Linked DNA regions of Nothobranchius furzeri. The protein of the gene in region 2 purifies or fractionates together with the protein of the main gene of each other region. This does not show direct contact. Links are inferred from orthologs where the notes say so. Each region holds a gene or a part of one and is shown on either strand. Other genes may lie near its edges. The genes, in order: growth arrest and DNA damage-inducible protein GADD45 beta and map3k4.

Region 1 (3,488 bases), on a different chromosome or scaffold from region 2:
TCATCACGTGACTTCTTGTTTTGCCTCATGAACTCTGAGTTTTCTGCATCATGATGACTCATTAAGTATTAACCTATAACCACATGGAGACAGCAGAATCATGCATTTCCCGGGCATCTTTTAAATATTTTGTATTTAAAATACAATTTATTTTATTTCAGGCTTTTTATTTAAATAATTATTTTTAAAATTTATTTCTCTAGGAAAAAACATGTCAACATCTTGCTGATAAGGAATGGAGCCCTCTGCGCATCATCCTCTCACAAACTAACCCACCACTAACCCTAACTACAGCACGGCCGATGGACCTGAGCGTAAAACAGCCTTCTGGTTGTTTTGTCTTGATAAATCCATCAGTTTCTCACAGATCGTAAAGCTACGTTTATATGATCTTCGTGTCTAAATCCTGCTCATGTTTTCTGTCTGAAACTGTTCATCAGTGAAAACTTGACTCGTTCTCTGTTTTTTTATTTTTATTATTAAAAATTCCCTCTGGTTTCTTTTAGGATTCATAGGAATCATCAGACTTTTGTTTTCAGTTTCATTTCTTCCTCTTCCTCCCTGATCACGAGCATCCAGAAACTGGATGCAACAGAACCCCCGGGACCCCCCCGGGACCCCCCCAACGGGGCCGGTGTTCGGAACACCGAATGGAGACGTGTTCTGGTTTCACTGCTGCAGGGGCGCCGCTAGGGGCGCCCTTGGGCTTTGCAGGAAGCCAGAATGTGAGGCATGAATCTGCAGCGCAGAAGTGATTCCATCCATCTTCTTTAACCGCCGCATGGTCGCGCGGGTTGGTGTGCAGAAGTAAATAATTCAGAGCTTTTTATGCACAAAATAGTTGTATTTATATTTTAGAGTGTCTGCTCTGTGTGCTGCAGCTGCCTGATCATAGTAGCACAGGTGTTGTGTCTTGACCTGGAATATCATAAAGCAGGACCTCCAGCTGCACGACCAGCGATGGGTCATCTGATCTTCTCGTGCTGGAGAATCTCGCTGTTGCACAACCTGCAGCGCGTTGTACAATGGTGGGGGTGGAGGGTGCGTGCTGCTGCGACACAAGGCTGGTCACCTGCTCCCGCTTCTTATCCGGGTTCTGCATAAAGTCGTGCCTGCATGGATTCAGATTGAGGAGGAGTCGTGAAAAGGGACTTTTTTTTTGGGGGGGGGGTCTGGAGTAGCAAGGAGGATGAGGAGGAAGATCTGGAAATTCCTCCTCAAGACAGAAAAACCCTCCCAGTAAACAAACTGACAGAGAGAGGGGAGGGGAGAAGTGCGGGGGATTCTCCGAAACCACCCACGTGGGATCGCCGGTTTCTGCTGCGTGCTCGGCCAATCAGCGAGTGTCTTTTGATAGCAGAGGGCCAATCAGTGCTCGAGCAGTTGCTCGCGTTGACGGGAGGCTATAAAAGCGGAGAGTTTCATCTTTTAGAAGCAGAACGCTTCTCTCTCACACACGGAAACCAGCAGCAGGACCTGTCCCTATTACCGGACCTTGGTACCGATCTGGATTAACGCTTGCTTGGCACTTCATCTCTGGAGCTTACCGGAACAGCTGAGCGCTGTGGATATTTGCCTTTATCCTGGATCTTGTGGATTATTTAACTGACTTCGACATGACTCTGGAGGAAGTTGTTGGGTCTAGCAGCACCGAGAAAAAGTAAGTATTTGCTTTCAGATGATGCGTAATTACGCACAAGCTCACATTTTAGTGCAAATGATGCAAGATTATCAGAGTGTTTAGAGCTCGCGCCGGTTCTGTTGCGTTCTGTGCCGGTTTCGGTCCCGTCTAACCGCCTCTGTGTCTCTGCAGGATGGAGCCGGTGAGTCAGGCTCTGGAGGAGCTGCTGGTGGCGGCGCAGCGGCAGGACTGCCTCACCGTGGGAGTCTACGAGTCCGCCAAACTCATGAATGTGTAAGTAGGAGCTGTGACCGACTGGTGCCTGTACGCGCGCCGGTGCTGGTTCTGACCCGGTTCTGTTCTCCTCCTACAGAGATCCGGACAGCGTGGTCCTTTGCCTCCTAGCCACAGATGAGGAGGATGAAGATGACATCGCGCTGCAGATCCACTTCACGCTGCTTCAGGCTTTCTGCTGCGACAACGACATCAACATCCTGCGGGTGTCCGGGATCCGGCGGCTAGCCCAGCTGCTGGGCGACGACACCGAGGACGGGAACGGCAACGGGGGCGAGCCCCGGGACCTGCACTGCATCCTGGTCACTGTAAGTTCTGAGCTCGCGCTGCTGCATCAATGGACCTGACTTAGATCAGAACCAGGAGATGAATCTGTGTTGCATGAAACTAAAGCAAATGTCCGCCTTGTTCTGCAGAATCCCCCGGTCCACCCGCTGCAGTGCCAGGCCCTGCAGGACGTCAGCAGCTTCTGCAAGGAGAGCCGCTGTAAGAACCAGTGGGTCCCCTGCCTGGAGCTGCAGGACCGCTAACTGGCGCCGAACCGAGCAGAACCGCCGAGGAGCGGTGGATGGAGCTGAATTAACGCAAACGACCAGTCCTCGTGAGAAGAGGCGTAACGGCGTTTGAGAGGCGCGGGACCGAGCCGTGGATGCATAAACCGACCCATCCGGTCAGGAGCGCGTGAGGTGTCGTTGCTGGTTCCGAGAGCCGAACCGAACTGGACCGTGCTGGATGGCGGAGTTACAGAGATGGAGGCGTTTTGATGCGATGAGTGATAGCGAGGAGCTGCACGTGACGTTCCGGACTGGGCTGCAAGTGATGCAGGTGTTCCGCTCACCTGTTCGGACACAACTGGACACTTTGTTTTACAGTGACGTCATGTCTGATTATTTACCTGATGGAAGAATGAATCAGCGTGTTGATGTAAATAAACAGTTGAAAGATAAATGACTTCCCGAGTGTTTCGTGCGTGTGTGTGTGTGCGTGCGTGCGTGTGTGTGTGTGCGTGCGTGCGTGTGTGTGTGCGTGCGTGCGTGTGTGTGTGCGTGCGTGTGTGTGCGTGCGTGTGTGTGCGTGCGTGTGTGTGTGCGTGCGTGCGTGTGTGTGCGTGCGTGCGTGTGTGTGTGCGTGCGTGCGTGTGTGTGCGTGCGTGCGTGCGTGTGTGTGTGCGTGCGTGCGTGCGTGTGTGTGTGTGCGTGCGTGCGTGTGTGTGTGAACTAAGTTCGGTTCTGAAAGGGTGCTGGGATACTGTCAGACTTACAGCCAGCAGCCTCAGGCACAGGAAGTGCTTATGCAAGAGTTTATCCCGGTGCATCATGGGAAGTGTAGTCATCTGCAGAATGAGCCGGAAGAGTTCCTCAGAGTTCAGATTAAAGGACCTGGAGTCATTTCTTCTTCAAAACAAAACTGATGAGAAGCAAACAGAGTCAGAAATAATGAATCCTTTACTTAAACTGATTATCGCATCAACATCTGGGATCAAAAGTTAATTTTTGAATTAATGAATGGTAAATAGTAAAAGTTCAGCCTTTTCTGGGGAAAATCTGTAGAAATCTGCTCTGTTTCTCCAGAA
Region 2 (3,820 bases):
GAGTGTTTATTATTTTAATTCTCTTTTATAATTAAATATATATTTTTCTCAATATATAACAATATTTGATAAATAAATAATAAATTTCACGATAAATAACATTCAACTGTTTGTATTTTAACATCGTCCTTGTAGTTTTATAAGCTGATAATTAAATTGAAGCAAACATCTTTACTGTGAACTAAATTTACTGTCTATCTTCATTACTTTTGCCATTTGATTTTACCTACTGGGAAGTTAGAATTTCAGAGGAGAAAGCGAACGCACCATTAGCTGATAACAACGGTGGCAATGGAAGCTAACATATCAAGCTAATGTTATCTTAAACAGTTTATCTAACTGCTGGAGCAGATTAAAACGATGATGCCTCACACTTAGATCGTTGTCACTGGTTTCATCTTCACCCAATCACCCGTCGCATTTAGTAAAGTGAAGCCAAACTTTAGAGCGCGTTCATGTTCTAGTCGGAAATTCGGAGTTCCGAGGAGAAAGCGAACGCACCATTAGCGGAACGGAAGCTAACATATCAAGCTAACGTTATCTTAAACATTTTATTTACCTACCGGAGCAGATTAAGATGAGGATGTCTTAGATCGTTGTCACTGGTTTCATCATCACCCAGTTACCCATCACATTTAGTGAAGTGGACCCAAGCTTTAGCGTGCGTTCTTTCTACCCATGCTGCTCTGTTTACAACTTGCTCGCAGGGACCGACAACATAACGCTCTTGCGCATGCGCAGCTGTCTTGGCAAGTTCTCGTTATGAAGGACGGGTACCGAAACGAGGCACCGTTTGAAATGACGTGAATCGGTGCTCAGTCGGTACTGTTGAATTCGGTCGGTACCTTAAAAAGTACCGAATTCGGTACTCATCCCTAAATGACGCAGATTTTTTTTTTTTTACTAGTTAAGCACTTCTGGGATGTGTCCAAAATGTGACAATTTGCAGCAAGTAAAAACACACCCATCAGCTATAACAGCAACTAATTGTTGCGTACTGTGCTTTGCGAAAGTTATGCGAAGCTTACGCGTCCGGTGGAAAGGCCGAGTAGAACTCCTACTTGTCCAGAAGAAAAGAAAATTATTAAAGGTTTGCTTTAGTCACCTACTAGAGCTGAGGAAAATAATCAAATAATCGATGCATCGGGATGCGGACATAAACGATTCTTCATCGTAGAAGAGTACGCCATAATCGATTATAGTGGAATGTAGTTTTGTTTTTTTAACGGCGGCACTAGCGCAGCATCCAAATCTGTCAGAGTGAGCGTCCTCCACATTTACCTCCGCCTTAATGTGGTACTGCAGGGCTGAGCGCTGGAGTTGTCACCTGAGACCAAACCGGAACCGAATCAGCCCAACCGGTTCTGTTTGATTTGGGCCGTGAATTATGTTAATTGAGCGGGTTGTCGTGCGGCGCGCTCCGCTCGCTCGATCAGCGACAGAGAGAGAGAGAGAGAGAGAGAGAGACTGTCTGCTCACACAAGAGAGACGATCGGAGGACGCTCCTCCACACCGATGCTCCAAACACGCGTTATTTTCATAATTTAATTATTATTTCTCCTGGAAGCGCTCAGTCAGACTGCTTGTTGTAATGTAGGGAGATCCGGTCTTGGGGAGGGGGCGGGGTCAGTGACGGCGGCTGCAGCGTGATCGTCTGTCTCTTTTATTTAGGGAGACGGATAAGTTAAAAGGAGAGGGAAATGGAAGTTCTCGTTCCACTTTATTCTTTTGTTTCATGATGATAAACTGATGTTAAATTCAGCTTCAACAGAAGCTGGGAGGAAGCGTTGGTTCATTTTAAGTTACAGGAGGTCTTGTCTCCTATCTGCTCCTCCTGAGACAGCATGGACATGAGGGTCACATGGTGAGGGTCCCACAGGACAGGTTAGTGGAAAGGTTTGTAGTTAGCTGGTTAGTGAAGGAGATCCATCAGCTGGGTAATTTAATCCTAATCCAGCCCACAGCCTTCAGCTGGTGTTCTTATCAGGAAGAATAAAACACACATCTTAAATATTATTGGAAGTGTAGAATTTGTTTTGTGTTTTATTATTTTCTGCATCAAACAGAACTTGATTCATTCTCCAACATGTCAGAAATGAACCACTGGGTTCAAATGAAATTAAGTCAAACATTTCATTTGGTGTTATTTCTGACACCCTTCAACTGTGGCATAAATATTGGACTCTAGAGCTGCTCAGAGACATTAAACACTCATATATGAGCCCATTATGGATTTTATTATTACATTATGTGTCCTGAAGGTTTTCAGTACTTTTTTAGATTTTGTGAGTTTTTGCAAAGCGTGTTTTTCTCAGCCTGAGGCGTGGTGTTGAACGAGGAAACAGATGTTTTACTTTGTTAAATCTTAAATGTTTAAAATGTTTTGTCCTAACCTGTTGTGAATGGAGAGCTTTTGAGGAATGGCAGGTTGTGTCAATTACGTTTTAGATTCAAATCAATTCAAGTTTTTTTATATAGCGCCAAATCACGACAAGAGTCGTCTCAAGGCAATTCACATAATAAACATTCCAATTCACAGTTCATTAAGCCAATAAGAAATAATGTTTCCTATATAAGGAACCCAGCAAATTGCATCAAGTCACTGACTAGTGTCAGTGACTATACAGCAATCCTCATACTAAGCAAGCATGCAGCGACAGTGGAGAGGAAAACTCCCTTTTAACAGGAAGAAACCTCCAGAGAATCCTGGCTCAGTAGAAGCAGCCATCCTCCACGACTCACTGGGGATCAAAAAAATAGATAAAAAAATAAAAAGCAATTATCTGACATCTTCTATTTATCGATGAAAACAAATCAATATGAAATAATCGTGATGCATCGTGATGCATCGGGATATCGAATCGAATTGAATCGTTGACCCAGTAATCGTAATCGAATCGAATCGGGAGACAAGTGAAGATTCACACCTCTATCACCTACACTGGTGAAATTAATCATTATGCTGTTTGAGGGAGACGTTGTGTGTATTTTTTTTTTTTTTTTACTTTTTACCACCAACGATAAAATAATACACATTGTATAATATGAACTCAACATTTTTTGCCAGACAGCACCGAGAATGGCACGATTGAACCCTTGCAGGTTTACTCACCAGAAAAGCTCCCCGGACTGGGCCTCGCCTCCACGAATGTAAGGAGTGATGACTTTAGTGAAGTGCCATTCCTCCTCCAACAGGTTCTTTAGACTGTGAGAGGCCTGAGGCAGCTGCTGCAACATTCTGATCCAACTGCGCATATATTCAAAGTAAACCTGCAAAAACAAACGTATTATACGTATATTATATATACACAACCCCGTTTATGAATTTTTACAGTTCCAAATTACAAAACTATCCAGTTTTTGTCCATTTATAATTTGAGTAAACGAAGAAGGGAAGATTCTTACCACCAGCATCTTGTGAAGATCCTCCTCAAACTCATCAATATTCGCATTCGTCTGCCAGCCTTGAGCATCGGTCACCAGCCCACGCAGCATAAACTGATAATACTGCTTCATCAGAAGGCCTCCTTTAAGAACTTCTTTACATTCACGAACCAGCTGCTTAATGCTGAGCAGCGATGGGTCTCCAGCCGGCCTCTGTTCAAGTCTTAGTTTAAGGCATTCGTGAATAACATTGAGGAGGACTCGGCAAAGCACGAGAAAAGCCGGCTGGAAGGATGGGAGATCCATACCCAGCAGATCCTCCCAGGACACTTGGTCAGCTTCTGTTTCTGGATCAGTAGGACCACTGCAGGACAAGTGGCGTGACAGCTCAGGCAGGTATTCGCTGTCCATCATGGGGTCTGGGAAGTCAGCAAAC

Evidence for each region.
Region 1: the proteins of map3k4 (region 2) and growth arrest and DNA damage-inducible protein GADD45 beta purify together in Homo sapiens (co-immunoprecipitation; 3 studies listed by BioGRID and IntAct, counting the BioPlex papers as one, with this or other methods). This does not show direct contact. The link is inferred for Nothobranchius furzeri from reciprocal best matches to the Homo sapiens genes MAP3K4 and GADD45B.

Annotation. Positions count from the first base shown.
Region 1 is NC_091748.1:78,786,186-78,789,673, forward strand, and holds growth arrest and DNA damage-inducible protein GADD45 beta, read left to right. Parts: upstream 1-1,430; 5' UTR 1,431-1,616; coding exon 1,617-1,660; intron 1,661-1,813; coding exon 1,814-1,915; intron 1,916-1,994; coding exon 1,995-2,223; intron 2,224-2,331; coding exon 2,332-2,445; 3' UTR 2,446-2,863; downstream 2,864-3,488.
Region 2 is NC_091752.1:17,929,429-17,933,248, forward strand, and holds part of map3k4 (mitogen-activated protein kinase kinase kinase 4), read right to left. Parts: intron 3,820-3,820; coding exon 3,406-3,819; intron 3,271-3,405; coding exon 3,113-3,270; intron 1-3,112. UniProt on the Homo sapiens protein: Component of a protein kinase signal transduction cascade. Activates the CSBP2, P38 and JNK MAPK pathways, but not the ERK pathway. Specifically phosphorylates and activates MAP2K4 and MAP2K6.